Linked DNA regions of Mytilus edulis. Each later gene encodes a partner of the first gene's protein in a complex. Links are inferred from orthologs where the notes say so. Each region holds a gene or a part of one and is shown on either strand. Other genes may lie near its edges.

Region 1 (11,291 bases):
AGTATTCTTAATCCAATTATCTAAGGAAAAATCAGCTACACATTCAACTTTTTATAATTTAACAGACTATGGGTAATCTCATCTAAATGAAATATTACGTCAGTGGTTCAATTACATGTACCATTGTTTAGAATTTTAAACCAATCACAACATCTTCAGGGCTCACACTACTTCAGAATTAAAGGGAGAAGTGACTTCTCTTTTTGAAACTGATAGGGAGAAGTGGTGAGATTTGAAAGAGAAGTGCTCATTCGCACGGTGCACTACAATGTTTGGATTTTACTATAGTATAAAGGGTCATATGTAAATAATGTTCTTTTTATATTATTCAATTCATATCTGAGTATACAATTAAAGTAACATTTCAAATTAAAAGTTGTTTAAGTTTTACTAAGGTTCTTGTGAGAAACTACCAACTAAATATTCAATATCTAGCACTAAAAAAAAAAAAAAAATATTTTAAAAAATGTAAAGAAATTATATAATAATATATCAATTAAAATTTAATTCAAATCTATCTTGTATATGAAATTCAGTGTTTCTCATCAAAAAATATAAAAGTTATTAAGCTGGGCCATAATATAATTAATAGTCTCAGAGTTACAAAATGTAAGCAACTTTGAAACAATCCATAAAAAATATAGGGAATTATATACACCAATCAATTAGATGTAACCAAAAGTCTCTTAATGCTAGTGGAATACGTAATTTTTCCCTTTGGGATCAAATTCTTCTGTCAGCTGTTCCTTCCATCCGTGTGTCCGTAGTAATTATTGTAAAAGTACAGATTTAGGTCATAGCTTGTCCGGTTCAGATTCGTAGTTTAGATATCGGTCAATGGCGGACGAATGCAAGAAAATTTACAAAAATAAACGATGTTTGACAAGTTATTTGGAAAGGAACATGACGTTTTTAAAGCAATAAATGGATTAAACATTTACTGGAGGCAACTTTTATCCCGTTTAGATAAAGCAACAAACTTATTTTGCCGCCGAAATTTAGGTTGATGCACGTTTTCAAGTAACAAGCACCGGAACTTGCAGAAATGCACGAAGTGTTAAAATGTTGTATTTTTATCAAATAACCCGCTACACACTGCAAAGACAATGCTTCAACTTCTTTTCTAAAGATAATGAATAGTATTATGTCTAAATTTCTTTAATTATCAATAAAAAATTGATGTTTCATCAACTTTGTAAAATTTGAAAATGTCCAATGACGGAAGGGACTGAAAGCGAGTATCGTCAAGAACAGGGCGACTTGTTTTCGCTTTTGGGGGTCAGGGAAAGCGAAGTGACCGTCGGGAAAGCGACTTCTTCGCCCAAGTCGCCTGGTAACGTAAGCCCTGATCTTGATGAATGCTTTTGAAAATATTACCCAGCAAGTATTAGATTCAGAAATGGTGAATAGGTCATTCTGATTTCAAATTATGTACTTTTTTATAGACAAGTGTATGAGTAATTTTTAAAATTTGATGGACCTGAAATCCTGAATCAGTCGATTTACATTATCTAGAAATTCTGGTCCATAAAATTTTACCAAGTTTAATACTCTTCGGAAGTGACGAATTTTGGTAGTTCTGTGAAATTTTTTGGAAACATAAATATTTGTCCACCTCAAATGGAATCATAACTTATTTTATCATTTCTGTTGGATATTTCTGGAAATATCGTGCAAAAATAAGCTCAAAAAGGGTAGGAATTTGTAACTACGCAAAAATTCCTAACCGGCAAAGCAAATTTCAGGTCAAAATTAGGTCTCAAAGTTCCCCCAAAATTTGCTCTCAATGTCCCGACATAATAAATGGCTTCAGCGTTATGACATCGAAGGAAGGCGTCAAAGAAAAAAAAACAAAATAGCCTGGCCAGACGTGGTATTTATTTGGACTACATAGTATTCAGTACATTTATACCTCTATTGTGAAAAACTGCTTCTATTCAATATGGCTGAACTAACAATGAAGGGGTCCATTTGTAAAGAACCAAAATCAATACTTCGAAGACTTTGCAGTGTTGCTGTGTCTGGCAACACAAAAAGTTCTCTCTTCAGACTCTTGGCTATTTACATTTAAAATGTTTTGGTTGTGTAACGGGAGTGGAAGTTTCCACTGGCTTCGTTTTCCCGTTGTCTACCCAAGTTCTGGGATATTGGACAAAGTACGTAAAACTACGTAAATATAAACAAGATGTTTATTTGAAGACATACATTATGGTTGAACATACGATTACATGAATAAATATACTAAAATACGGTGGTGGCTAGTCTACTTGTCCTTATAACGTTCCATATTTGAAAGCCAAATGATATGAGCGTCTGCTCATTTTAAATCCTTAGTGTAGACTGCCCAGAACCCGGTGAGTGACGTCATACTTATAGTTCCTATGGACAACGAGCCCGGCCGGGCACGTGCCAGAACAGGAAGTCCCGACAAGGATAATTTCATGGCCGGTCTCGGAAGAAAGAGTTACGGAACTATAAGTAATTCTAAAGTTAACCAATATCCCCAAATAAATAGAATATAGACAAGTAAACAAAGTGACCACCATTACACTCCCCCTCTCTTAAGACATAATGTGCCCACACATTAGTCCAAAGATCGGTGAGGTATACTTACCAAAATTTAGAATACAGACACATATAATTATCAACAACAATTAATTTACTGTTAATGTCAATAAATAATTTGATAAATAGTTCAAAGTATTCAATTGTCATTCACTAAATGTTCAAAAGTCACAAATACATCACGAGACATCATCACGGAGTAAGGAATCCAATTATAAAGTTCGAGCGGAGCATCCAGGCACACATCTTGTCCAAGGTTCCAGGTAGGTAAATAAGGTAAAATTCGTCTAGTAGAGGTTCCAAATCTGTAAAGTAGTCCAAGTAAGTGTTCCCCAACATTTATAATTCCATGTGGTTTAGTTACGTTAAACTTATCGGCAAAAAGGCCAATATAAAATCCAATATGTTCCCTCATTGTGGCCAGCTATCCACGCACTGAAACAGTTTCAGTTTTACCACCTATATTCTGTCAGACACTGGAATAAATTAAGAAGCACATTCTTCTTATAAAATCCTGACTCACCAAGAGTCTTTAAAAGTCTATCATACACGAGTACTGCACCACTTGATCGGGTGCCCCAATATGTAATTTTATTGGTCACCGAAAGCATATAGCCCATGGTATTACTTTAACCATATAAAACACACATTTCTATACTGAAATCCATACAAACTGATTGTTTGTTTATTAAATATATTCAAAAATTAGAAAGTCATATAAAACAATTGAACTGTAATAATAAATCATTCCTTGTATTCCAGCAATCCCCAAACAATATTCTTAGTCATGTGGACAACATACCCATGGTGAACCAATTAAGGTTTACAATAAAAATGTATACGCAAAATATACACCTATTCTCGCGCCATTCTAGCACCTAAGGTATTTCCAAAATTGCCTCTATATGTATACACCACCGAAAGCAGCTTCCAACAACAGCTAAGATAATGAGTGTACGTTCTTCTATTATCTTTATTCTAGTCACAACTCGTACCAGACAACCCTATTCCAGCTGTATGACAAAAATGTCATTTTAATCCAAATCCTCGCTATATCCACAATTTCTACATTTACCTAAGCCACATTGCTTAGCAACTGAAAAGATTCAGTATTATTTTCCTCAACTGACGTAACAATCCCACCAAACTGAGATAATTCAGTTTATTTCCAAAGATCAACGTTAAAATAAATATCAAGATATTATATTATAAATATAACCGAGTACAAAAACTGTACTTTTAGTCCTTTTTACAATATCAAAATAAACCGGACAAATTTCCAGTATAATATCCATGATGGCACAATATAGCCTATGACTTACGGTACCACTTTTAAGTTTGAGTATTGTTAATTCCCTCCTTTCCATGCAAGAAAGGTAAATAATTGTTATTACATCCACACTGACAAGACATAGATATGCAGACAATACTGCATGACAGAAATGCAAGTACAAAGTACAAAATGTACTTTTTAATCCAAAACAATTTGAAGTATAATCAAAACAAATTATTTGATTTTCCAAATCCATTTATGACAATAAATATGAATACGAACCAATAAACAAAACTAACAAATTAAACAACTTTTTCATGGTTAGAACGACAATGAGTATTCCCCATTGGTACCTCCATACAAACATTCCTTAGATGGCAGGTGCTTTGACGTCGAAAATATGACGTCATATTGTAAACATGGCGTAAACAATCGCCGACTTCCTGGAAATTGAAAAGCCATAATAAGCTTTCTACCACGATAAAATGCAGCTAAATATTTTATTTTGATGTGGTGTACACAAAAATGTTGTGTTTGTTTTCCTCTTATGCAAGACCAGCATATTTCCTCTGGAACGTGAACAAAATGTTCACCTTGTGCTCCAATTTGGAATTTAAAATCTGGATTTCTAATTTCATTTTCTGAAGGTAAGTCACCTTTAATTGTATTGTTGTAAAAAAACGATATTACATGCAGTACTGGTCATTGTCGGACCGGCACAAACAGCGGAAATGACAAGCAGACGAACAATAAACTGTTCGATTTTGACTCCTAGGGATACAAAAATACCTTTTATTCCGACCATATCGCCGAAATAATGTACAAACACAATGTTTGTTTAAGTTATTGTCCTCAAATATCCCTCGGACGAGCCCCCAATGTAACGGGAGTGGAAGTTTCCACTGGCTTCGTTTTCCCGTTGTCTACCCAAGTTCTGGGATATTGGACAAAGTACGTAAAACTACGTAAATATAAACAAGATGTTTATTTGAAGACATACATTATGGTTGAACATACGATTACATGAATAAATATACTAAAATACGGTGGTGGCTAGTCTACTTGTCCTTATAACGTTCCATATTTGAAAGCCAAACGATATGAGCGTCTGCTCATTTTAAATCCTTAATGTAGACTGCCCAGAACCCGGTGAGTGACGTCATACTTATAGTTCCTATGGACAACGAGCCCGGCCGGGCACGTGCCAGAACAGGAAGTCCCGACAAGGATAATTTCATGGCCGGTCTCGGAAGAAAGAGTTACGGAACTATAAGTAATTCTAAAGTTAACCAATATCCCCAAATAAATAGAATATAGACAAGTAAACAAAGTGACCACCATTACAGTTGTTTACCTCGTTCATGTGCAAAGGTAAATACGGAAATGGAGATAGATAAGGATATATGTACATTTGTATGTCACCGTAGCTATTTATTAGAGTACAATTATATACTAGTACTACACTATATGTTGTGTGTACTATATATTTACTACGTTCATTCATTGACGGACAGTTAGAAAAAGACTTTACTCTATATACTACTCTGCACGAAGTTATTATGCATGCAACCCGCCACTTTTTCTAGCACTATATATACGGTGAACTCGTACTAATGCGAGTTTCACACACTTAAGCATGCACGCTACATAAGGGACACCCTAACTTTTTCCCTACTTTCAGGTAATCACATTTTTTTTAGGCCTTAACATGCATGTACTTCTATCCAATTCATAGTTCAATTTAGAAGGAAACTTCAAGTTAACATTTGAAATAAATGTTTATTATAATTAATATTTTATGTACTTTCAGTGTGAAATAAATGGTTTGCAACATTATATTTCGTCACATATTCAACGCCCTATTTTAATTTACAAAGATTAAGTGGCCATATTACCCTGTGACATGTAATTCTGTTTAAGTGTTAAAATTTTATTTTTCATCCAAGAATGAGTCAGTACACAATGATTTGTGTTATGGCCTGTCTCTCCATTTGTCTCACCGAGTCTCTGTGACCGATGTGGGCGTTTTTTTACCATGGATTTCTTTGAATGACCCATGAAATTTTTCAATAATATTCTTCTACTTTTAAATACCTATGTTTTTAGTATACCTAACTGTTACTTATAACTATTGTCATTCAAAAGTTCTTGATAAAGCCTTAAAGGCAACTTCCGTCTTCCCGGCTGTTTTCAAATCAGAATTAGATTATCCAATAAAATTACCTTTATCAAAACTGCCATCTGGTAAGGCAATTATTTGATTCACACTTAGAGCAAACGCAATAATTTTACAAGTCTCCGGTAACCAGTACAAAAATTGGCCAATGAAAAGAAGTGTTACAAAGGCAAGGTTGGAAATCAACAACAGTTCCGGAATAAGGAATAACCCACCCTTCTTTCAGAGGAATAAGTCACTGCTAAAATGATTTTGCTTGAATTTCATAACCGAATTGTTGAAGAAACACTGAATTTAAGATTCAAAAATGCAAAAGAAGGGTAATAGATTCATTAGATTTGTATAGGGATATAGTTTTAGGGCGTTACAAATAAACCCGGTATAGTACATGCTTCCGTGTTCTTTCGATGTATCACAGTATCAGTACTACCCGTATAATGCAATAAATTGGCATTACACTTACAGCAAAAAATATAAACAATGCAAGATCTATAAAATTGACAATATACATAATTTCATGTTTGCATCACAGCTGAAGATTGACCAATCAGATAATTACATTGTGTTTATCTATTTGAATATTGGAGTTGAAGCGGTGACAAATCTTCGGGTTTTACCATATATAGGTACACAAACTTAAAACTCAATTAATTTTTTGTTGAATCATTAAAATTAAATTTGAGATCGTGTTTTCAAATCTCCTTATCATAATAGACATGTGTTTTAAAAATCTGTGTGATAAATTTTACCGTTTGGTTTTAAATTGGAATTAAAAATTGTATTTTCCCATAGAGTTTGAGGTAAAATCCCGAGAATTTCACCTCCTAGAAATTTAAAGTGCCAGGATGTTCGAAAATATGTATTAACAAAATCGTAGGATGACTTGTAGTCCTACAATGTAAGTCTGGAATGCAACTCGACTTTAAATAAAGAATTTGATGTACATGTACACAGTACACAGTACAGTAGTTGTCATTTGTTTATGTAATTCATATGTGTTTCTCGTTTCTCGATTTTTATATAGATAAAACCATTGGTTTTCCTGTTTGAATTGTTTTACAGTAGTAATTTTGGGGCCCTTTATAGATTGTTGTTCGGTGTAAGCCAGGGCTCCGTGTTGAAGGCCGTACATTGACCTATAATGGTTTACTTTTAATAAATTGTTATTTGGATGGAGAGTTGTCTCATTGGCACTCACACCAAATCTTCCTATATCTATAAATTAAAAAAAAATTAAAATAGTATCTTCGTCTCATTGGTTATTGCACTATAGACGTATTTACACTTGTATGGAAATTTGTCCGCCATTACGTAGAATCACACAGGTTCCCGTAAACTTTGACATAACAATTCAAAAAAATTGACGTCACAATAAAAAAGTGATTGTTGCTTGACATCAAAAGGTTATTCGGAGGCGATCTACGGTCATTTGGAGACAAAATTCAGCTAAATACCTAAAGTGTAAATACGTTTATTGAGAATGCATTGTGACATCACAATTTCCATTAAAAAAGAATGCATTAAAATTTATATGAATTCATATGATATACGAAAAAACATGATCTGACCAAATAATGGCTTCTAAGAAGTTTCCACTTCACAACCTGGGCAGTTTGACCGCAGGTTGTTTTGCCCACACTATTTTCTATTATTCTTAACATTAACTGTTTAGACAAAAGTTTGTTTTGATAAGGCCTAGGAAAAATTTATGATGATTTCCCCTTTCATTACTCATTAGTCCAAATAGTTTTGACGTCTTGAAAGGTTATTTAAAAAAAAAATCTGTGACCCCTTCCTATTACAATGCTGAAACCATTTTTCCAATTGGACTTTGAGATAGAATTTTCTGCAAGTATGATTAAGACTTTAACAAGTTTTTGTGTTGATTTTAGTGCTTCATTAATATAAAGGTTTACAACACCAGGATTTCCCCTGGGTCAATTATTTTTTTCGCCACCTCTTTGGCCAAAACAATATTTTTTTTCGCCACATTATTTTTTTTTTGGCCAAGTAACACAAATATATTTTTCTTTTAAAATTTTCCTTTTTTTTTTCGCACGTGTGTCACTGAAACGACTTTGAAGTACCCACTCAAATCAATTATCGATATCGAAGTTAAATGATAGTTTTAAAATCAGAGACCTTTCTGGCTTTTGTACATTTTTTGTCATAACAACAGTTTTCTTTTCTGGACTATCATTAAAAGAAGGAGAAGAGTCGTCAAAATTTTGCTTCAAACATGTGTGTCGCAAAGTGGTTAATAATCCTTGATGAAACATGTGACGGGCGCCATTTAACCATATCATTTTGTCAATCAACACCTTTATTAATTAGTCCTTTGATGTCGATTGCTATCAAATGCAATCAGCTGATTATTGATTTTCTGTCAAAATCTTATCGAGTTCAAGGTGAATTCCGAGAATTGTCTGATCAGGTAAATTCCGAGAAACCTGAAATAAAAAGTAAATAAACGAGATGGTTGAAAATAAATAGTTATATATATTAATTTCGCCAAATTCTTTCGCCAATGACGAATTTTAATCGCCACAATTATTATTTTTTCGCAAATTGCTAAAATGGCGACCGTCAGCGGAAACCCCGTACAACACAGAATAGACTTTAAACAATTAGTCTGTTACAAACCTAAGTACAAAATTTTTTTATGAGAAGTATGGAAACTAACACTTCATCTAAAATTTATACATCTGATGTGTTGATTCCATTTTAGTTTCCTTTTAACATTACATATTTGCTTTAGATATTATTCAGTCTGTTGAGATTGAGCTCTATGTTCATCATGTTTATGTTTATATTTGAATCACTTCAGTTTTCTAATATGAATGTACTTGGGAAAACTGATTAAAACTACAGTAAAAGAACCTTCAGTAGCCTAACTACCCAAAAGTAAATTTTGTTCTTTTGCATAGTATATTGGTACATGAACTATATACTGTAAATCACACTTTAATGTTGCTGCACTTAATTCAAGCCTCCTTTAGGGCATCGTCTTAGTGAAGTTTTATTTTATTTATTTTTTTATTTTAGAAACAAACCAGAATCAATTGATGTCACTGTTGCAGGTACGTTTTTTTTATTTCAATTTGATCTCTTGTGAAATCTGTAAAATCATAAGATAGTTTTAATACACTTTTAAATATGTTTAAAGGTGTAGATGTATATCATGTATAGCAAAGAAAAAGAATATATCTAAAATATTTCTCTGCACTTATCATGCTTATTCATTAATGTTAACAAAATTACTCATGACATCAACTTATTTCGGCTGTTAAATAAAATAAACACAGCATCACTTTATTTTCATAAATTATTATTGCATATGTGCTATCTTTGTTTTTTTTACTTATGCATCCTAAAACTTCATGAAAATCACTCCAGATGCAAGATAATATTTGTATGACAGTGTAATCACTTAAATAGTTTTTTTTAACATTTTTTGTGTTAATTTTTTGTTTCAATTATGTTTTACAGATTTCGATGGAGTTTTATTCCATATATCAAACCCAGAAAATGACAAAACCAAAATAATAGTAAGTATATGTGGGCTTATTTATTGGTTTTGAGCCTTTTGTGTCTCAAGAAACCATTTAATTACTTGAGAGACAGGCTTTTTCTTATCTTACATTGACTTCATTTTCAGGGTTTATTTGTCTATGATCAGTTTCCCCAACTTTTTCCAGTTTATCAGATACTACAAGCAACAGGTTAACTATATTTGGATTGTAAGGTGTACATGTCTGTCTGGCCTGGTGCATCTGACCTTGACCTCATTATCACAGAACATTGATAAGTTTACTTAATACATGTAGTTGTAGTAAAACATTCATGTTACAGACTTTCAACATGAATTCAATAACAAGTAGCCTAGTTAGATATTTCAGTGTGTGCTCTCTTATTAAAACTTTTACACTTTTCAAATATTGGGTGAAATAAATGATAGTTAGACAATATACATATAGTGTCTTGTAATATGAAATTTATTTGTATGAGGCTTAGAAACGGGGGAAATGCAAGGTTATACCGAGCATTTCCCTTGTTTCGTGCCGAATACAAATAAATTGCATATTTCAAGACACTATATGCATATTGTTTTTATACTGAAATCGATAAAAAAAATAAAAATATGTAACAAATATTGTTACAAAAAGTGTTTGGAATTTTCCTCTTGTGGTACCATTTTGGGGTATTTCCCTATGAGCGTAGTCTAGGCGGTAAAACATTGACAATTTAAGGAATTAGAAAGGGAAAATGAATTTAATTAATAATATTTAATAAACATGCTATACAAATTACCAATTTGAAGACATAACAAGTTAAGATTTATAAAGGTTTGACCATTGTTACTACACGTTGTCATGGTTGTGACGTGACGTTGTTGATGAAATACAATAGTTCCGGTAAGTAGGCGGGGCTTATAGGTTAGTTGAGGTCATTGGCGTATAAAACTAACGTTTATACGTATAGCTTTATCTGTATAGCAAAATAGCTGATTGCAGTATAATATGCAATATAATGTCAATAGGTGGTTATCATTTCTAATGTAAATGTTGATATCAAACAAGGGAAATTTTATCACTTAGCTAAGAACCAATATTTATCAAAAATTTCATAAATAATGCATGGTGTATGTATCTGTTATAAAAATAGGTTGAACTACAAATCATGAACAAAAGTAAATAACTCCAACTCAAATTTTTAAAATTCAATGTTTTAATTTAAAAGACACATAATTGCAAATTAATTTAGCAATCTTTTCCCTTCAGTGCTCACAAGCTTGTTGATTAATTCAATGTTTTAACCATGGTATTTTCATATTAAGTTTATGAAATATAAGATAAATGATACAATTCATCTGCCTTCACCATCTGAACCCCACTTACCCAATTATTATAAGTATAACCACATCCTTTGCTTGTCTTATTATTAATTTTGATATTTCCCAAATGACTAACTTGTGATGAATATATTTTAAAATGAGCAATGAGTATACCTGTTTATATTTTAGGTCAGTATTTCACTGAAATTTTACAAAGACTTAGAAGAGCATGGTGCTGAGGATGTAAGCATTAATAAATTTTATTGTTAAATTGTATGAATAATAAAGTGGCAGCTGTAATTAGTGCCACTCTTATAGCTTATCATCTTATTCAAACCCATTGATAATCTTTTTCAAGCTATTTGTTGAATTTTACTGAAATCGTTTACTGGTTATTTTTTATTTTTTGTTGGACTTTGTTTGACCAAACTTAAAAATGAATT
Region 2 (11,188 bases), on another chromosome or scaffold:
TTATCACAATTAAAAAAATAGGTGGCATAAAAGCGAGATAATTTGGAGAAAGAAGAATCCTAAGTGAACTGCCAGTGAACTGAGGATTTTCATGCAAAAAGTTACCCCTTTACCCATTCACAATAATCTAGTAAGATTTCTAATCTACAAATATTGTACATGTATCACATTGAAAACTTAGGACATTAAGCTACATATTTTATAACTTGTTTTTTTTTTCTTTTGCAGGCTTGTTTCTTTGGATATGAGTTGACAATGAAGTTCTTGTACTGGTTGCAACCTGGAGTTTGATGATAATATTGTTATAGGATGTACTAGTTATCAACAGGAGTTTGATAACAATATTATAAGATGTGCTATTAGTATTTTATTTCTCAGAAACACTAATTTTGTTGTGAGATGAAAATCAAAGCTCATTTATACTTTTATAAAGAGTATATTTTGAGTTTGTATAAACATGATTCCAATCCAATTATCTGTATACAATTGTACTTATTTATATTAAATGAATATAAATGTTGAAATGAAGTTATAATAAAAATGTAGCACCATTTAGGATATCAGTGGGAGGATGAATTATGAATTCCTATTTTCTACCATTAAAATTGCAATTGTTATATCCCATCAGCAAGATGTTTCTACAAAAAATAAATTTTAAATTTCATAAAAAAATCTATGCAAATTATAAACTCTGACAATATTGAAAGAATGCCTTTTAGTTGGTGATCCTTAAAAAATATTTATGAAAAAATGGTGATTACCATGCATGCTACATTATTATTTATTTACCACTATATTTTTGAAAGGAGAGGTCTGTGTTGCCTTCAAAAGACCCATCTTATTCTAGTATGTCTATAAACTATAGGAAAGAAAACACATTTTTTTTATAAATGTTGATGTGTCTATTTACACAGCAAGTATCACAAATATTATTTTTTTTACAAAAATAAATATATACATGTACTTTAAAAATTGTTTTTCCTTGAATTAGATATTTCATTAGTTACTTTCTAAATGTAATAGTGTGAAAAGATAAGGTTTTATTTTACAGAAAGTTAGCCATCTTTACTTTAATGCTCATATTTTATCTACTTTCGCTTTTGAATTTCTTCCAATTCTAACAGAAGCGTTCATGTTGGATACTCAAAGGAATAGAAAAGAGGAAAGCTGTAGAAAGCAATCTATTAAGATCTTGAAATTAAATACAGTTGTTTGTTCAACAGGTCAAAAATATAGTATACAAATTCCTGTATAAAACAGACAAATATATATGAAAATGAAAATAGTCACATGAACTCAAAACTGTGTGAGCTTTGACAATTTACATACTCTCCTACTAGACATGCATCACTTATCACACAATAACAATAAAATCACATCAGGCTTAAAGTTTTACAAACAGGAACATGAGAAAATAATATCATATTGAAATAAGTTTACAATAGAAATCAATGAGTTAAATGCCATTAGTGAGTTCAGATAAACCAATTTGTGATGTCAAGCATAAAGCATTTATAAAGTAGGAATTTCAGTCCTTCTTCATTACAATTTACTTATTAGTAGTTTTAGAGTAAAAGACTGCACACAAAGTGCATCAAATGTCCATAGTCTCTGCTGGTCAGCCATATTTCAACCATCTTTTTTTTTTGCCTGTCTTTGTTGTACACACAACATTTAACAAAGAGGTAACATTTATAAGATTGTAACCATGCCCACTTCAAGCAATTTATTCATAGTATGAATTTAAACCAAATATTCAGATAACATGTAGATGGTATGTTACTGCTCGAAAATGGGTTGTTGACAAAAAGAAATTAATTGAATTTAGTTTTAAGCTGCTTATTGTCAGTTTAGAAAAAGATATAGAACAAAGAGGTAATATTAAAATAAAGTATAGACAAAACAGAACAAATCAAATCATTAGGTCCTAATATAACAAGAATATATTTTTTTTCTTTTTCTAACCTATTTAAGTACGACATTGTTTTTACAAATTATGTGCAATGTTACTTACGAATACTTTTGCATGTTAGTTTAAATCTCAATTCATTTTTACATGATAGTATTTTACTTACTCTATCAAGTGCGATTTGGTGATCACTAGTGGTAGTTTGCTTTTGTTGTTTTTCAGTACTTGAGGATCCACATCCCATAGCTTGGTAGGTTTAATACAGTCTCTATTGTCCTTTATTGTAAATTCATAAGAATAGATATATGCTGTTATAATTCACCAAAACAAGACTTTGAAAGGTGATTGGTCTTCATCAAGATATCTAAAAGGGAAATTTAAAGATTTTGTTTGATAATTTTTCCTCTTGCCTTTGACAAGGATTTGATTATATTTGCAGTCCCTCAATTAAATGCCGATGGAATGCCACTGGAATACTGTCGACTGGCATAATTAACATATTCTTGATAAAAAATAGTCCAGCATTTTGACTTATTCAGTTAAATTTTATTTGAGATTGGTTTTTGTGTGATTCTTAAACAAAGTGTGATCTTGAAATTAACCCTTAGCTAGATATGAGTACCACATATACTAGGCGTGTTCAGCTATTAAAAAGAAAATGATGTCAACATTAACAGCTAGACAAGGGTTAGCCATTTGGTAAACTGATGTTATCCACACAAATTCATTCTTATACACAGATAAAAACGAAGAATAACATATTTTAAATCTATAATATGGAATCAAACAGACCTTGAAAAACCCAATTGCATATGCTACCTTCAATTTCTATTCATGTTTATATCGGGCTATATGACCGTCCACAGTCTTCAGAAGTCATCTTGGTGGTTAAGTTAAATGGTGTCATGACTTAATTACTCCTGAAATGCAGAAATATATAATCAAGTTTAAGTTTATAGTATGGGTGTCTTTCACCATTTTGGATTGTAAATAACAGTGCACTAAGGTCCAGATTTTCAATTAAGTTAGCAAAATTTGATTAGGAATGCAGATAAGTAACCATGAATTTTCATTTAAAGGGAGAAATTTATAAGATTTTAACGTATAAATATTACTAATTTTTTTTTAAGTTAGATAAATTTTGCTTAGTTTTTATTTTTTGGAAAGTTTGCTATAGCTTGCTATCGCAACTTTCCATAGGCTTCGGCCTCAACTACAGACTATCGCAATGTTCTGCTCCAAGATAATGTAGTTCTAGTGTTCGAAATCTGATTCTTGGATATTTTGAGTTGCTACTCTAAATCTTTTGAAAAGATTAAAGCTTGAATAAAAAAGGAATGAATGTTCACCGACAATTCAGGTGAATTTAACTTCATTTTAAAAATAAGTATCACAAACACTACTTTGCGGATCAGCCATTGCTTGAAGAGAAAATCAAAAGATATCTAGGCGAGACCGTTTCATTCATGAATATTTTATTAATAAACATTTTCCCGCACTATGTTTTACTCTGTACGATATTTACAACTGTTTATTATTGAATAAGTAAAAGCCCGAGTGTATCGAAAGAGTCCGGTATGCGAGAACAAGTTGATATTTGACCAAGTTGTCGGATAATTGACAAGTGATAATGGTTTGATTTATTTTACAATACACAGGTGATAGAATATAAAATAATCAATAATTAACTGGCTTATGTCTCACGCCAAGAATGAGTAAAGGTAAATACCGGCTTTTCGTCGTATAAGCTTTTTTATAGACAGACACACCTCTAATATTAGTATATATAAGGGTAATTTGGTATAGAAACTTCTTTTTTCTTTATATTTAACTATGTACAGCACACTTTGTGGATGGTTTTTAGTATGTTATGACTTTTAAAATTATATACAGATATGGCTTTTAATTTGGTTATTATTATAAGCTTATTTGATTTACATGTGTGTTATTATGCATGTCAATGACAATAATATTATAAAGATAATAAATGCTAATATGGGTGTAATTTACATAGGGAGTTTAGTCAATGCTTAAAATCTAAATTATCTCTTTCATTTCATATTTATAAAAAACTATGACTTTACTCAGTATGATAAAAATTATATTAAAATTATATATTGAATATAAAAATCATTTTGTGTCATATTTTAAGATATTTGTCCTGTTTTAAAATATAATGGATTACAATATAAAGATATTCTAGCCAATTTACCAGAAAATAAGATAATAAAAAGATAAAAACTGAAAAAGCGACTTAAAGAATAATTAAGATCATTTACTATCATCTTAAACAATCCAATTTCACTTCATGTTAAACAATCCAATATGGATTTATATGCTGATGATTCAACATTGCATTTTCATGATAAAAACATTGAAAAAATAAACAGCATATTGCAAAATGATTTAAATGCTATACAATCTTGGTGTAACAATAACAGTATGAAAATCAATGCACAAAAAACTAAGTGTATGAAATTGGGTTCAAAACAAAAACTTAAACAACTATCAGAATTATGTATTACCGTCAACGAAACATGTATTGAGAATGTCCATTCTTTCAAATTACTTGGAATAGACATTGATGAAAATTTAAGCTGGGAAGATCATGTTGATCGTATATGTAAAATTATCTCATCTAAAGTATCACTTTTATATAAAATTAAAGTATATTTGCCAATACACACAAGGCAACTATTTTATAATGCATATATTCTACCATATATAGACTATTGTAGTTCAGTTTGGGGAAATTTATTACAAAAAGATTCAGATAGAATCATAAAACTTCAAAAAAGAGTAGCAAGAATTATACTGGAATGCGATATTTCTATTCCATCTAATTTCATGTTTTCTTCTTTAAAATGGCTATCTTTTACCAAAAGAATAAAATACCAACAATCAATTCTAATGTATAAAATTGTAAATGGGCTAACACCTGATTACTTAGCAATACTAAATATTGATGATGTGCAACGCCACAACTTACGATCTGTCTCTAATAATGATCTTTTTGTTCCAAGACCAAATACAAATTTTTATAAAAAATCTTTTCATTATTCTGCAACCAAAGTATGGAATAATTTACCACTCGAAATAAAGAAATGTCCTAATGTGGAATTATTCAAGAAACATAGTTATAATCATTTTCTTGAAAATTATATGCAAGTCAACTAATTTGTTTTCCTCTAACAAAACTATATCAAATATTGTCATTTATTACCCTTTGTATATTTCAATGATTGAATTGTGTATATACTAGTAATATATATTGTAAATTAATGTATGAATGTATGAATGTTAACTGTATGCATGTATTTTGTTTGAGGGCCTCAATGAAAATTAGACTATTTCTAATTGAGTTACCCTCTTTAAATAAAGAATTTATTATTATTATTATTATTATAAAATGGTGAATATTTTAAGGTTTAGACTTTATTTGATTCACTAGTAATTTTGAGCTAGCGAGACTTTTATTACTTGCACTACCTCATGATAGTATATATTGGAGTTGTGCTTGTATACGGGTGATTTACACTTTTTCATGATTATATTATCGGAATATTATTTTCTGAGTACTTTTTCACTTTTTTTAATGTCAACAATACTTATAGTTCTTTAGTGCTTTGATATTTAATAACTGGTATCTCCGTGACCCAGTTTAGCGGAGAAGTGCGCAAGTGTTGCAATTACTTCCTGTTATTGGTACAGTACGAGATGGTGGGTGTTGATTCTAAAGCAATTTTATCTTACTGTTCCTTTTGTAGTTACCTGTTTTATGATTACATGCCCGCGTAAGAAATGCACAGTCACATATTTAGTCTGCAACTTCCAATGGAATCTGTTAACTAAGGCATACAGTGGAAATCATTTCATTTCCTGATAAATGTTCTAACCGGAAGCATAGAGAAGCCGATTTTTATGATACATTTATGTCTGTCTTAAACTATTTTTCGTATCCTCTCATCATGTTCTTTACATTTCTAAGGAATTCTCTGTTCCTTACGTAATCTGTTGAAAAGGGGGAGATGCCTGCAATGGTAAATCAATAACCATTGAATATGTGATTTTCGCCTTTCCTCACACATTTCTGTCTAAATTCTGATAACTAGACTGGACTTTTAACCAGATTCAGGGCCTTGATTGGTCTTTATGGTCTCATATGTTGACCTGAAGATCTATCTGCAGGTTTAACTTCCCTCTACAGTGCTCTGACATCCAAATTGGTAACATTGAAATAGAAATAAGATGTGGTGTGAGTGCCAATGAGACAACTCTCCATCCAAAGGGACATAACACCACTACAAACCGTGTATGAAATAAGCCCCGCTTCCCTACTACCTTATATGGAATATAAAGGGATGCAACTCCACTACTAACCATGTATGAAATATGCCCCGCCTCCCTACTAACCTAATATCAAATATACACGGTTTCCATGAGGACCCTTTTAACCAATCACATTCCTAGGAATGTATAGGAGGTAAGATAATACATTATAAACCATGTTCAGTGTTCTCACTACATTTGTAAGTGAGTGTATGAGACTTGGACTTTTAATCTTTAGTCATAAAATTAAGATATTTGCACTAAGTTCATACAACATTTAACAATTTTAATATATCTTTGAACTGACCAGTTTTGAAAATGATTAGACTCTTGGACTTGCATTATTAAGAACCCTGATACACTTGTAAAATAATATTAGGTAAGGTGTGTAGTATAAAGCTGTTTTCTTATAGGAATATGTAAGAATGACTGCTTACTTGGCTGATATTTTGAAACTTATCAGTAAATGGTTATTATTTTTCAGTCTGCTACTTTGAAGCCTTACTTGAATGCCATCAAGCACACTCTTACAGCAGCCATATGTGTCCAGAATTTCAACTCACAAGTTGTTGAACGTCACAACAAACCAGAAGTAGAAGTCAAGTAAGTAAAGTAACCTGTACTTGTCTACAAGTTTGTAAATAACAGAATTCCTCTTACATGGTATGATTTGATAACAAAAAAATTTAGTGACAAGAAAAATTGTATCTTCTAAGTTCCAGTCAGTGACACACTGTCTTCCAGTCTCAAAGAATGAAATTAAACATTAACATTCAAATAAATTATGTAATATTGACACACTGTTCATTCTTATACATTCAGTGTACATGTATAGACAGATAATAACAAAACTAATTGAACCTATCATTTTAATTTCAGATCAAGTAAAGAACTTCTTCTTACGCCAGTTGTGATTAGTAGAAATGAAAAAGAAAAAGTATTGATAGAGGGCTCAGTAAATTCTCTAAGAATAAGTATAGGTATCAAACAGGTAATTATAGCTACTTGTCTTCATGTACATCATAATTTTAATAAAAAGTATGGTATGAAAGATTGTTGTTTAACATTTAGTAGCAAATAACAAATATATTTATTAAGGATGGGAATAAGCTATTGATAGGGTCTGCAAATAAAGTTTCTTAAATAGATAAAATAGAAATAAGGAGATGTGGTATGATTGCCAATGAGTCTAATATTGACCAAAATTCAAATGAAGTGGATGTAAGCAATTGAAGACAACTGTACGACCTAATTTAAGGTTACCCCCTCCTCCCCCCAGGTTATACACATTTAACTGCTAATGGTAAGATGCAGTAATCAAAACAGTAAATTCTAATACACTTGTTAAATGACATCTCAAGAAATGATGACTGTTACTATTTTAAACAATGTACAAATGTAAATAGAAGTTTATATTTTGACAGGCTGATGATATAGAAAAAATCTTATGTCACAAATTCACCAGATTTATGATGCAAAGAGCAGAAAATTTTGTTATTCTTAGGAGAAAACCTGTAGAGGTAAGAGCTGATTATATTAGAATGAAAAATTAAGATGGTTCTGGATTTTTTTCTGAAAATAAGATTAGGCTCTGCATTAAAGTGTGTTTAAAATTAGAGTTGCAACATTAGAAGCGAACTACAAAGATGGGAATAAATTCATAATTCACTTGGAAAATCTATATTAAAAAAAACAACCTCACAGTCTTGAATAGAATTTTCTTTGTTATTTTTATATTGTACATGCACAACAAACATACATGTATACCTTTGTTAATGATGCCCAGCTTTTATTGGCAAAAGCTAGACTAAGGTGTGCATTTTCTTTGCTGAGCATTAACTATATATAAGTTTGATAAATTGTGATTAGGTCAGTTTAAAGGGAACCATTTATAATAAGTCAATAGTATAATATATAAAGTTTTATAAGCTTTGGCATATACAAGTTGCATTTATAATATTATTAAGCCCTGCACTTCATTCATGGTTCATTAATTATATATAAGGTTTAATGTTTTGTATTGTTTAAATATTGCCATTTTAGTTTTAAACAATTGTATTATTAGATCAAAATAACATAAAGAAAAGACCAATCTCAGTACATGTATATTCATAAAGGTGTATTGTGGAGGATTTTAATGAAAATTTAATAACACAATTTTATTATTTTTAGTTCAGTTATTTGTTTCTATAATTCTAACTTTTAACATTGGAATGTTTTAATTTTGTTTCAGGGTTATGATATTAGTTTTCTAGTAACGAATGTACATACGGAAGAAATGTTTAAACATAAACTTGTAGACTTTATAATTCATTTTATGGAAGAAATAGACAAGGAAATTAGTGAAATGAAGATAGCCCTTAATTCTAGAGCTAGATTAAGTGCTGAGGAGTTTCTTAAACGATTCTGATGCAGTCTTTATTTTATAAATGGTAGGTACATGAAGTAAATACATAAAAGATATAAAATGTTTCTCCTTATCTATGCAACAGTGTTTCTTTGTTATGAAACTTTATAAGAGCTAAACAAAATAATAACCTGAAGTCTACTGGCAGAATGCTTTTATTGAGTGGAATGCAAATGAACAATAATCCATTCAAAAAATAGCTGACTATTGGAAAGTGCAACAAATATTCTTATGCCAGGTATACAAGCACACAGTATGCAGTATTTCAAATATCAGCTTAAATCTTGGTCTTTCCTAAAACTTGTTTTAAATAAATACAACTTTCATTGTTTGTTTTGAATATACTGAAGCCAATTTACACTACACTCATGACATAGCTTTATATTGATTGTATAATTTTTTTTATTTTTTATTTTCAGATAGAAAATGGTGCAGCAAATACATTTTAAACCATTCCTTTATGGATACTTGTTCAGAAGAAAGATTAAAGCATGTCTCCTAGATGTATATTCTGTGATAGCTTATAAGGAAATTGTACAACACAGAAATTTCATTGTTAAGCATGTAAATTGGGTTTTAAAATGTTAGAAGAGACAAATTTTGATTCAGTATGAATTCCATAGGTCCATGAATACAATCAGACTTTTATAAAATGATCATTTGGTATATTTCTGGTGTGCATCGTCATTTAATTTGTAAAGTCATATGTATTTATACTATAATGCAAAATTACTATTTCTGATAAAAGAAAAAGAAAATTTGTACATTATTATGAATTAAACATTGATTTATTTCAAGTAGTACAATATACTACAAATAATAAATTTTTGCAGTTGTATATGATTTAAACTGTAAAACATCAAAGATTGTAAGTAGTTTGGAATACCAATATATAATTTTTGGGTAGATCTTTGTTACTAGGAATAATGTGCTGCAATTCTATATCTAAATATCTTCAGGGACAGAATAACATAGGGATTCTAATTTTAAGCATTAATGTTTACTTTATGGATGATAGTTGTAAAACCTATTTTTGCAAGATTTGTTGACCAAATTTTCAGTATTGCACCTTAATTTTGATACTTATTATTACTGTAATGTTATTGTAAAACATGAAGATACTATTTTTCACTGCCTTAAGCACAACCACATGACTACACAAAAGCACTTGACTTCAGATTGTGGAAAATATTATGGTACTTGCTCAAGAAATATTTTTATGCACTCCATGTGTGGGAAAAAATCAAAAGGGATGGGGTTTCAAACCTATTTTCCCTTCATTTTTGCATGATTTGAAAAAAGGAAATATGGAACAGGGACTCCCAAACCTCAGACCCTTGGTCTTGATATGTGAAAGTTTTTATAAAAATATAAGTTAAACTGTAATTAGGAGTCTGACAAAATAATTCAATATTTTACATGCATTTTCACGGCTTTCTAAATTGTGTACTCTAATAGATGATTGTGCTTATTTTAAAAGCTACTGTCATTGCATATTACAGCAGGTTTTGAGGAAAGTAGCTGGTAGAATTATAGTTTTGGAGGGAAAGGGGCTTTATAAGTCGAAAAAATAATCAACTAATAACTTTTTATGGAACATCTTTAATCTGTCTCAGTATTATTTTGTATATATTTCTTTTTATATCTATGGATAAAATGTGTGACAGTCAGAAGAAAGTGACTTGGAAGAAGTGTGTTTGCCAAAACCAGGTGCTACAGATTAACACTCCCAACTTGTTTCAGTTGTTTTCCCTTCAAAATAGTATTGACATATTTGATAATGATGTTCATTAATGCTTCTTTCTACCTACTAAAGTTTCCTTTATGTACCAATATGTTTCAGTTTTGGTAAATGAAGGACACGTTTTATATGAATTATAGATCAGTCATGCTCTAGGGAAATTTCAAATATAAAATACTATCATGAATATCAAAGCTGTTTAATTTTATAAAAGAAAGCTATAAACATGTAATCATTTTGTACATATATTTATACTTATAAAGGGTATATTATAAATCATATGCCTAGCAATAAATAAAAGCTATAAAAAGTTTATTCAGTTTTTATATGTATTTCTAAGGATATTAGATCATACCAGTATTACCCAATCTAAACAAAATTAAATCTATGAACTGCTCCCATTCTGATATGTCCCACATCAAGGCCTTGAATTGTTCTTTTCTGATATGTCGCATATCAAGGCCTTGCATTGCTCTCGTTTTGATTAGTTGCACATCAAGGCCTTAAACCAACCACATCAGAATGGGAGCAATTCAAGGATTTAATTTAAATAAGATTGGGAAATGCAAGATCCTGAATATCATATGCATAGGGTGAAAAACACCTCCCCAATACAGCTGCTGCTGGAATGACGCTATATAATTGTAAGTCACAAAATGAAAAATTGAAATCACCTTTTAGTTGTACAGCTTATATCTTGTCTTACTCTTAATTTTGATGTTAGGTTTTAGTATGTGTCTATTTGCTCTTTCATAAGAGTATTGAGGGCGAGTCCTCAGATTATTCACTACCTGTTGCATCA
Region 3 (11,340 bases), on another chromosome or scaffold:
TTTGTTGGGGGTTTTCCACACTATAAAAACAAAATGAATGATGTGAGGGAATGTCACTCTGGTCAACCCCATTGGGGATTGACGGCTTGAAGCCGTCTTCCCCAAAAAGTACTGAAATCTTACGGGGTTTATGATTTATGTTAAAATAAGGCAATAACTGCATTTGTATGCCACAAAAATATAAGTTTGAGTATTTTAATTCTGAAATTATCTTGATTATAAAAAAAAATATTCTTGAGGCATTTAAAATAATAAATTACAAACAAAATAGCATCAATTTTTTTACCTAAAGAAGAATAATTTTGACAATTTTGTACAATGTGAACAACATTTTAGTATATTTTCTCAGATAATTTTTTATTTTCATGAAAAGCAATCAATCCTTAACTTTTAAAAGTGGAAAAATCCAATTGCAGTCATTGATTTCCATTAAAATGAAGAAATAATTGCATTCTTTGTTAGTCTTGTATGATTTTTAATTTTAATTTCTTGTGTATAATTCTGAGTTTAGTATGACGTCCATTATTACTGTACTAGTATACATATTTTTAGGGGCCAGCTGAAGGACACCTACGGTAGTGGGATTTCTCGCTACATTGAAGACCCATTGGTGGCCTTCGGCTGTTGTCCGCTCTTTTTGAAAAACAGTCAATCTTGAAGTACAACATGTACAAAAAGTACTGAAATCTTATGTCGGTTTATGATTTATAATAAAATAAGACAAAAAACACATTCTTATTCCACAAAACTAAAAGTTTGAGTATTTTAATTTTGAAATTACCTAATTCTAAAAAAGACTTATCTTGAGGCATTTAAAATAATAAATTACAAATAAAATAGCATACATTTTTTAACAAAAGAAGAATAATTTTGACAATTTTAAACAACATTTTAGTATATTTTCTCAGATAATCTTTTATTTTTATGAAAAGCAACCAATCCTGAACTTTTAAAAGTGGAAAAATCCAATGGCTGTCAAAGATTTCCATAAAAATGAACAAATAATTGTATCTTGTTCAACAAAAACAAAAGTTTATGCATATATTATCATTCAAATATTCACATTTGATACAAAATAACTTATAAATAGGCATTTTTAATGCCTGTTTGCAATTAATGTGGCATTATTTCAAATATGAGAAGAAATATTTGCATTTTAGGCAACGCGTAAATAATTTATTATCATTTCCCTGAAAGTCATCATATTTGAGGAAAAGCAAACAATATCCTGATGTACAAAAAGTACTAAAATCATACAGCGGTTTATAATTTTACATTGAATTAAAGAAATAACTGCAATCTTATTCCAAAAAAAAAAAAAATTGCAAAAGTTTACAAGAAAAGACTTAAGACTTATCTTGAGGACTTTAAAAAAAAATTACAATTAAAATTGAATTAATTTTTACCAAAGAAGAAATTAAGTTGATCAGAAACCATAATTAAAACATCATTTTTAATCATCACAAATAAAGCATGCGTCTTTAATATCATAATATTTTTACTTTCATCTTCTAGTGACATAACATTGCTAAATATAGTACTTATTTTAAACATGGAAGTTATATTTCAATATTACTTCCATGTTTTAAACGACAACATTTTACCTGGTACGATAATATTCTGAGGATATGGTTATTATGCAGTTATGTTATTTATTTAGCTAAAATCTAAATAGAAGAATATGAAGTAATACATATGATAAGTGAAAAGTTATTTTTATTTTTTTATTTGTTATTGCAACTAAGTAGATTACAAATTAACGCATAAATGTGTCTTCATGAGGTCAGCGTTCATCGAATGTAAACACTGTAGAGTTCCGTTTGCATAAGAATTTTAAATATATATGTATCCGTCCGATTGGTGCATAAAATTAATGTACTGATCGATCGCTGACCATTGTCACAGTTACTTTCACATAGCTTGTTTGACTTTATCTGACAAATTCTATGGGTCACCGATCACTCATCAATCAGTCAAACATCCATCACCGATAATTCACCTATCAGTCAAGTTCATGTCAAACAGTTACGCCGACTGTACAGAGGGCAATCAAAATGTTCAGCAATTAAAAATATGACAGAATATATACAAGTACCTGCTAACACAGGGCAATCAAAATGTTCAGCAATCAAAAATATGACAGAATATATACAAGTACCTGCTAACACAGGGCAATCAAAATGTTCAGCAATCAAAAATATGACAGAATATATATAAAGTACCTGCTAACACAGGGTAATCAAAATGTTCAGCAGCGGGATCTAGATTGACAACATGTATTGTTCTTTTGATGACTTCTGCATGTTTTACCATATTGCTGCAGTATGTAGACTGAAATATAATAATGTTGTATAATACATTGCATAGTTTTATGCAAATTTGTCAATCAAGATTCACACTTTAGTTCCAACTTTTTAACATGTTTAAATTATATTACTTTTCAATATAAGAAACAACTGCTTCACAAGGTACAAACATAATTAAGATCTGTAAATATCAATAAAAATGTGTATCGTAGTATGGTTTTACTTCTGTTAAATTTAAAAACTAGGTTTTGGTAAAAAACTTAGAACTAGAGGGTCCAAGGACCCTGTGTCGCTCACCTGATATTTTTATTTACAATTGTTGCATGATAAATGCAACTGTTGTACTGTCGTTTAGTTTCAGAGATATAATACTAAAAAGTGCATTTGAAACCTATGTTTAATTTCAGCCATGTGGGCAGGCAGGGTCATCATACACAGTGGTCCCTGGATATCCTAGTGGTGATTTAAACCAAGTTTGTTTAAATTCAACAGTTGTTTCAGGGGAGAATTTTTGTAAAATTTATCTAACAAGAAATGCAAAGTAATGAGAAAGTTGTGAAGTAGTTTTGTTGTTGCGCAACCCCCCCCCACTTTGCCAAAAAAAAACAAAAAGGTAATAAAAAATTATCATATAAGGGCAATCTATCCTATTAATGATTTCTGCAAAATTCAGTTGATTGTGCAAGGGTTGTATAGCCAGCTGAGGTCTTTAAAAACTCTCTTTCTTTTGTTGTTGCAGATAGATCTTGACCTGATAAGCAATTTTACCACATGTCAGATTTGCTCTAAATGCTTTGGTTTTTGAGTGATAAGCCAAAAACTGCATTTTACCCCTATGTTCTATTTTTAGCCATGGCGGCCATCTTGATTGGTTGGCCGGGTCACCGGACACAATTTTTAAACTAGATACCCCAATGATGATTGTGGCCAAGTTTGGTTTAATTTGGTCCAGTAGTTTCAGAGGAGAAGATTTTTGTAAAAGATAACTAAGATTTACGAAAAATGGTTAAAAATTGACTATAAAGGGCAATAACTCCTAAAGGGGTCAACAGACCATTTTGGTCATGTTGACTTATTTGTAGATCTTACTTAGCTGAACATTTTTGCTGTTTACAGTTTATCTCTATCTATAATAATATTCAAGATAATAATCAAAAACAGCAAATTTTCCTTAAAATTACCAATTCAGGGGCAGCAACCTATCAACGAGTTGTCCGATTCATCTCAAAATTTCAGGGCAGATAGATCTTGACCTGATAAACAATTTTACTACACGTCAGATTTGCTCTAAATGCTTCGGTTTTTGAGTGATAAGCCAAAAACTGCATTTTACCCCTATGTTCTATTTTTAGCAATGGCGGCCATCTTGGTTGGTTGGCCGGATCACCGGACACAATTTTTAAACTAGATACCCCAATGATGATTGTGGCCAAGTTTGGTTTAATTTGGTCCAGTAGTTTCAGAGGAGAAGATTTTTGTAAAAGATAATTAAGATTTACGAAAAATGGTTAAAAATTGACTATAAAGGGCAATAACTTCTAAAGGGGTCAACAGTCCATTTTGGTCATGTTGACTTATTTGTAGATCTTACTTTGTTGAACATTTTTGTTGTTCACAGTTTATCTCTATCTATAATAATATTCAAGATAATAACCAAAAACAGCAAAATTTTCTCAAAATTACCAATTCAGGGGCAGCAACCTATCAACGGGTTGTCCGATTCATCTGAAAATTTCAGGGCAGATAGATCTTGACCTGATAAACAATTTTACCCCATGTCAGATTTGCTCTTAATGCTTTGGTTTTTGAGTTATAAGCCAAAAACTGCATTTTACCCCTATGTTCTATTTTTAGCCATGGCGGCCATCTTGGTTGGTTGGGCGGGTCACCGGACACAATTTTTAAACTAGATACTCCAATGATGATTGTGGCCAAGTTTGGTTTAATTTTGTCCAGTAGTTTCAGAGGAGAAGATTTTTGTAAAAGTTAACGACGGACGACGACGACGACGACGACGGACGACGGACGACGGACGACGGACGCCGGACGCCAAGTGATGAGAAAAGCTCACTTGGCCCTTCGGGCCAGGTGAGCTAAAAATCTACTGATTTTTTTCAGAAACAAAGCATTGCCTAACAATGTTTTTAAATGATCATACATACATACCTGAAGCTCGTGACCTTGATACAAAAGTTTTAAGAAAAAAGCTTATATTGTTATTTATGTTATAGTCAAGAATATATGTCTTTTGGTAAGCTACTTAAAAGTAAAATAACAAAAAATACTGATCTCCAAGGAAAATTCAACTCAGAAAGAACCTTAATATCAAATGGCAAAATTTAAAGCTCCAACACATCTTACTTATTTACTTTAAACATTGAATGAATGGAAACAACTGACATATTCCTAACTTCAAAATGTAGAAAATGGTTTTATAGCTAGCTAAACCTCTCACTTGTATAAAAGTTAAATAAAATTCTATAATATTGAATGAGTAAACAGACACAGATAATTTCTGCCTAATTGGGTGACCCAAACCATGCACACAGACATGAGGGTAGTCAGACCATACTTACTAATGATGTGACTGTCAAGGGAGAGCCAAAAATTCAGTCACTGAAGTTTTCTACCTGGAAATGTTATCGATGCACCAACCTCATGCCTCAGCAAACTTTATAGGTTACAAGTGAGAAACATATATTGACACAGAGATATTAAATAATGATACAAATAGTAGTAATGGGGGTACCTTCATGATAGATAATGGTAAAAATTCTTGCCAAATGAAGTTAATGGTAATTTTTAGTCCATGACAATAAAATGTACACTTTCTTTTAGCAGTCAGGGGACTTACTTAAATGAGTGATTTTCTAAATCACTGATTCAAGTAGCATTATTTCCATAAAGATTGGAATTAAGAGTTGTCTTTCTTTAATAATCACCTATTTAAGTAGTACAAAGTAATCACTAGAACAAGTGATTTAATTTATCATACCTCAATTTCATTCCCAAAAATCACTTCTTTAACTATCAATATTTTAATAACCCCCACTAATTTCAACATCCCCGAACAGTGAAATTTTTATCCGAACAGTAGAATTTTATTACATAATCTGAAAGATGAAACCTTGAACTTTAAAGGAAAAATACTCCCACTGCTGGGAAAAATCTGTCAAGAAAGTATCAGTTCATTATGTAAAGCCATTATAACAGCATTTTTTCAACTAAAATAGAATTTGCAGCTAAATGATAGCATCAAAGGCATAAACCTTTCCACTTCAAAGAAGCAAAAAATACATTTTTTTTCAATTTTACTAATGAAAAGATATTATTTAAACCTATGTGTTTGAAATTTTGGTAAAACTACAAAATTACAATTGGAGACAAAGCTTCAAATTTGCTACTCATTCAGGGGACTTAATGATATAAGTGATTTTTAAATCACTTATTCATTATTTAGTCCCCTGAATGTTTAGATGATAAAAAATCACCTGAATTTGACGAATCTCACTAATTTATTTCAAAAATAATGGTAACGATAATTATTTGAGACATCGGACGAATCACTGTAAGGACATTTTGAGGAATCACTGTAAAATTTTAACCAATTTGACATTAACAGTAGCTGAAAATGACCGTTTGACACATGACAGTAAAGTGCATTACCACCCTCAGACATAGTTCTGATCTCAGAATGTTTAATAAAAAGGATTCTTCATGCAGTTTTCCACAGAGTTCAGTTTTAAAGTAGCAAAATAAATCAGTATATTTAACAGAACTTACATACACATGTACATGTATGAGGTTAGTAATACCCCTTTACCATGAGGCGTCAAACAGTCATTTTCGACTAACGTTAGCATCAAATTGGTTAAAATTTTAGCGTGATTTGTCAAAATTTCCTTATCATGATTCGTAAGATGTCTCAAATAATAATCGTTACCCTTATTTTTGGGAAAAAAAACTTGTTTCATCAAATTCAGCTGATATGCACTAAAAATTACTGTTAACATCATTTGGCAAGAATTTTTACCTATATATGTCATGAGGGTACCCCATTACTACCCTTATGTAGGCTGTAGCACTGCATCACTTATCAGTATATTTAGTGTGTCAGTTTATTTTCCGTTTTATGAGTTTGACTGTCCCTTGGGTATTTTTCGTCCCTCCTATACAGAAACCACAAGCAGTTTATATGAGAAAAATTATATTTGTACACTTGAGTTGACCAAAATTAAAACCCGTCACTACCTTTCCACTTCCAGCCGGACCCATCACTAATTGTCCATATCGTGGCATTTCTTATTCAAGTGCAATACTAGCTGCGGAACCGTATGTTATTTTTTGACTATTTTGCGGACCTTATGGTGCAATACAAAATACAATTCAAGTGTGTGAGCTTCTACTAATCTTTTTTCGGTTATTTGTCAAACCGTTGCCGCTTGTGACACATCAAAATAATATAATTTTTAGGTGGGAATGTATCTATTTTTTACATTTTATTATTATAAAAAAAGCAGTTTGGTACCTTTATAGATTATTTTTCATGTAAAGGAAATATATTTGGATGTATTCCTTGACATTTTTTAAGTTATTTTTGTAGTTGTTTGAAGCGGCCTCTCAAGGAAGTGATTGGGGTGTAACAGAAACATTGAAAAAGGAAAATGCCAGTAAATAATTTGTCTTCATATCATATAGGATACTTTTTAATGAATTAAGTTTATATTTATTCGCATGTATTCTTTTTATCATAACATAGCATGCCATATTTCTATCATTTGAGAGTGCAGTCTACATTTTCATAATATGTCAAACGGATGAGGAAGCCTTGTCCCGAAAGAAATTAAACAAGTGATAGAGAAGCCCTGTCAACAATAGGATAGTCTAGCTCCATTTGACAATCGAATTTAGTAAAGGATAGGGCAGCCTTGTCCTTTAAACCAAAATACAATTAGGATAGTCTGGCTTCGTTTGAAATACAACAATCAAGGATAGGGAACCCCTCGTTCTTTAATTAAAAATAGAACAAAATAAAGTACTTCAAATGAAATTGGTGTAAGGAAGCCTTATGCAATTTCCTCAGCCAGGTAAAAAAAAATAGATAAGCCCTATTTTTATTATTTAAAAAGTATGGCATCAACTAGAAAAAGCAGTACAACAGGTCCCAAATCGTCACAAAAAATAAGTCAAGACGAGGAGGAGGCATGGACATGCGCTAAATGTACCAAAATCTTCAAAGAGCCAGAGGCTCAACTTATGGAATGCCAAAGGTGTAAGGAACATTTTTGCACAACCTGTCTTAAGAAAACAAAAGCGGAATACAGCATGTTATGTAAAACAGATGCAATGTGGTTTTGTGGAAAATGCAGGATAGTCATGGAACAACATGCAGTTACCGATATTGAGATAGAAAAAAGGTGCAAACATATAATGGAGAGTTATGAGAAAAGAATTACATCACTTGAAAAAACAGTTGAAAATAAATGTGACGAGGATAACTAAAGTCAAGCAGATTGTTTGTGAGGAAATAAAGAACTGCAATGAGTAAATGAGTAGTTATTGTTGCAAACTTCATTAGAAATTTGAATTGAGATTATTTTTGGCATATGGGAAAGGGGGAGGTGAAAAAAAAAATTCTTTAAACATTTTTTTGGGGGGGGGGATTAATATTCAACAGCATAGTGAATTGCTCAAAAGCAAAAAAAAAATTGAGTTCATTAGACCACGTTCATTCTCTGTCAGCTACATGTATTTAATCTTAATCCAAATTCAGAGCTGTATCCAGCTTGAATGTTGTGTCAATACTTGCCCCAACTGATCTGAGATCGAGATCTGTGATTGTATAAAGCTGTGCCCTGCGGAGTATCTGGTTACTTTGTCACTATAGTTATAGCCTTCACTGACAGTAGGGGTACCAATCGTGAGCAATAGCTTACAGTTCAAGTTCTAGTTGGGATAGCAAGGAAGATTAGATTTAGATATAGGGTGCCTGCCTTGTGAAAGTGTATATTAAAACACTGTGTTATTGTATTTTACAGGCTTATCACTCACAGTTTACAAACCCTCCTAAACTTATAGGAAATGTAGCATTGGTGCCACTAAGAACAAGTTACAAAGGACCAGCACCAAAAGACAGTATGTATTAAAACATAAGAATGTAAATTTACAAAGTAGTCATTTTACACAATATGTCAATTTTACATTTTTAAGAAGACATCATTATCAAATATGATCTTATTTAGTTTCACTACTTAGATATATGAATTCGGGGGTTGACAAAATGTTATCATTTCATCAGAACTTTAATTCTAGGCTTACTTCAGTTTACTTTATAATTATTATTTATATATCATGTATATGAATTCAACTGTATTAGTAAGTACTAAAATTCATAAATTTTATATTTTTTCTTTTAAGTTTCTGTCAATATTAGACTCTATATTTAATATAAAAGTCAGTCTTGAGTGGCAGAACCTTTTTCACATGTTTCATCAATGCAATTCTACGCATACATGACATACATGTAAACAAATCAAATCTCAATTTAAAAGTGCTTTTATATTATCAAATTATGTCATTTACATGTAACTTATCAGACTTAGACATGTAAACAAACTTTTATACTTTGTATTCATGCTATTGCCACCACATTAAGTTTTTTCAATATATTCTTGATATATCATTTATATACAGATAAAAAATCTATTGATTTGCAAATTTAGTAATTTAACATGCACTATAGAATTCAGACATAAGAAGATTTACAAAATAAACAAATTGAATGATGTTTTCATCTGTATATAAAAAAGAAGATGTGGTATGATTGCCAATGAGACAACTGTCCACAAAAGACCAAAATGCCACAGACATAAACAACTATAGGTCACCATACAGACTTCAACAATGAGCAAAGCCCATACCGCATAGTCAGCTATAAAAGGCCCTGATAAGACAATGTAAAACAATTCATCGATAAAACTAATGACCTTATTTATATAAAAAAAAGAACGAAAAACAAATATATGTAACACGTAAACAAACGACAACCACTGAATTACAGGATCCTGACTTGGGACAGGCATATACTTAAATAATGTGGCAGGGTTAAACATGTTAAGCGGGATCCCATACCTCCCCCTAACCTGGGACAGTGATATAACAGTACAACATAAGAATGAACTATAAAAATCTGTATGTTTATTTCAGGTAGTGACTCAGACATTATAGATGAAGCTATTTATTATTTCAAGGCCAATATATTTTTTAGAAATTATGAAATCAAGGTGAGAATTGCTATGTAGAAAAGATTGTTTTCTTTTAAAACTAAATAAGTGTTTTTGTTTTGTTTTTCAAAAGTAACAGTAAAAGTTTGTTCACAGTGATTGATTTTATGGATTATTTTATTTTGTTGATATGGAGGGTTGAAATATAATTTCCACCAATACAACAAGTGGTAGAACCTTTTTCTCTGATAAATCTTATCATTTCTTTTCAAAGATTTGCAGAAAGTTGTGTTTCGTTATATGTGACGTCACCAATAATGATTACCTTTTACAATAAGAGATACTATCTTTGTCTATCATCCTTCGTTTAATCATTGATTTAACAAATCATTACCTGGAGAAAATATTTGGCCAACTTATCTTATCTCAAACTCAACTTATCCCCAATTTTAAGATTCTAAATTTTATTACCAGCCATATTTTTAGAAATGACAACTTTTTGTCTATTCTCAAAAAAGCATGATGGAAAGACTTAGGCATGATGTATTAATTTGTGATTAGGTTGGTTTGAGGGAACTACAATTGATAATTCTGAGATATTTGGTGTACAATTGTATATTGATAATTCTGAGATATTTGGTGTACAGTCATATAATTCTGAGATATTTGGTGTACAATCGTATAAGTACTGGTTCATCTCATTTCCATGTAGATTATTTTAGCTTAATAATGATTCTGATAAGGTCAGTGAAGATGGTTCACATATGGTACAAATGTAAGATTATGATATTTGCTATTCAGTTTTATTTTTATAACCTTTTTGGCTAATTGTTTCCATGTATAATGTTTAGCTCTTCACTTTCAGTGTTGGTTCATTAAATTTAAAACTTTTGCATAGTTATAATGTTAAAGTTTGTGATAATCATGATAATGTCATTTTAAGTTGATGGACTTGTGTTAAGGCAATGATATTAATTTACATGTAGGTGTTTATAAAGGGCATACAATACAGTTTCGATCCCATAATGATTTTTTTTAAGAAAATTTGCATACAAGGAATTTTTCACCTAGGCAATTCAAATATGTAATATAAAATATACCTTCATGTGCTACTTTTAGAGATAAAAGGGGTCAACATTTTTAGACATTTACTTAAAATTTCAGTTCTTTGGACATTTCTATCCTTTTGATAGGCATACCTCACTTTTATATTTCAACAGATAAACACAAGCGGGATATTGTAGCAATGTTATAAAAATCTTCTTTCCATTAATATGTTCTTAATATGTACAACAGTTCTTCTGAAGTTATAAATTTCTACAAAGTTTCAGGAAATAAAAGCATGAAAAGTCTTTTTTTGCGGTATATTTTATTTTTTTTTCAATATTGACTTTTTTATTATAATTGGTACAAACAATCTTCATACATAATCAGTGATAATTACACTTTGAAAAAGAGGGGTCCATGTACTCGTTTTAAAGTGAAATCAGTTTGAAGGATAAAAATCAGTCGCGAAAGTAACATTTTATGTTAGCAACATCATTACCTCCCCTGTAACTGTATTGTATGCCCTTAAAAAATACCAAATAAATTATTATTTTTGTATTAGCATGGTATTTCAAGTGTTAATGCATGATAATACCCTATTATTAAGTTCATAAAATTCAGAAATAGAAAAGTGTCATAGACCAGCCATGTAACATCCTCCACATGTTTACAAGATATTATATAATTAGCTTCTTACCCATCAGTATTTATTTTTTTGAAACTTATGTTTATTTTCATTAGGATTTTTTTCACATTAATATTTA

The links.
Region 2: actin-related protein 2/3 complex subunit 2-like (region 1) and actin-related protein 2/3 complex subunit 4 share a complex: the UniProt entries of both Caenorhabditis elegans proteins name them as parts of the arp2/3 complex. The link is inferred for Mytilus edulis from reciprocal best matches to the Caenorhabditis elegans genes arx-4 and arx-6.
Region 3: actin-related protein 2/3 complex subunit 2-like (region 1) and actin-related protein 2/3 complex subunit 3-like share a complex: the UniProt entries of both Caenorhabditis elegans proteins name them as parts of the arp2/3 complex. The link is inferred for Mytilus edulis from reciprocal best matches to the Caenorhabditis elegans genes arx-4 and arx-5.

What each region holds. Positions count from the first base shown.
Region 1 is NC_092345.1:92,659,354-92,670,644, reverse strand, and holds the start of actin-related protein 2/3 complex subunit 2-like, read left to right. Parts: upstream 1-6,166; 5' UTR 6,167-6,260; coding exon 6,261-6,334; intron 6,335-9,059; coding exon 9,060-9,094; intron 9,095-9,503; coding exon 9,504-9,562; intron 9,563-11,037; coding exon 11,038-11,091; intron 11,092-11,291. UniProt on the Caenorhabditis elegans protein: Functions as actin-binding component of the Arp2/3 complex which is involved in regulation of actin polymerization and together with an activating nucleation-promoting factor (NPF) mediates the formation of branched actin networks.
Region 2 is NC_092344.1:98,209,506-98,220,693, forward strand, and holds actin-related protein 2/3 complex subunit 4, read left to right. Parts: upstream 1-5,555; 5' UTR 5,556-5,626; coding exon 5,627-5,629; intron 5,630-6,722; coding exon 6,723-6,841; intron 6,842-7,117; coding exon 7,118-7,229; intron 7,230-7,662; coding exon 7,663-7,758; intron 7,759-8,471; coding exon 8,472-8,648; 3' UTR 8,649-8,670; intron 8,671-9,064; 3' UTR 9,065-10,701; downstream 10,702-11,188. Other genes in the region: mitochondrial carnitine/acylcarnitine carrier protein-like, read left to right, coding at 229-291. UniProt on the Caenorhabditis elegans protein: Functions as actin-binding component of the Arp2/3 complex which is involved in regulation of actin polymerization and together with an activating nucleation-promoting factor (NPF) mediates the formation of branched actin networks.
Region 3 is NC_092349.1:81,607,117-81,618,456, forward strand, and holds the start of actin-related protein 2/3 complex subunit 3-like, read left to right. Parts: upstream 1-6,735; 5' UTR 6,736-6,970; coding exon 6,971-6,976; intron 6,977-8,344; coding exon 8,345-8,441; intron 8,442-9,512; coding exon 9,513-9,589; intron 9,590-11,340. Other genes in the region: GPN-loop GTPase 3-like, read right to left, coding at 2,223-2,331, 6,558-6,605. UniProt on the Caenorhabditis elegans protein: Functions as a component of the Arp2/3 complex which is involved in regulation of actin polymerization and together with an activating nucleation-promoting factor (NPF) mediates the formation of branched actin networks.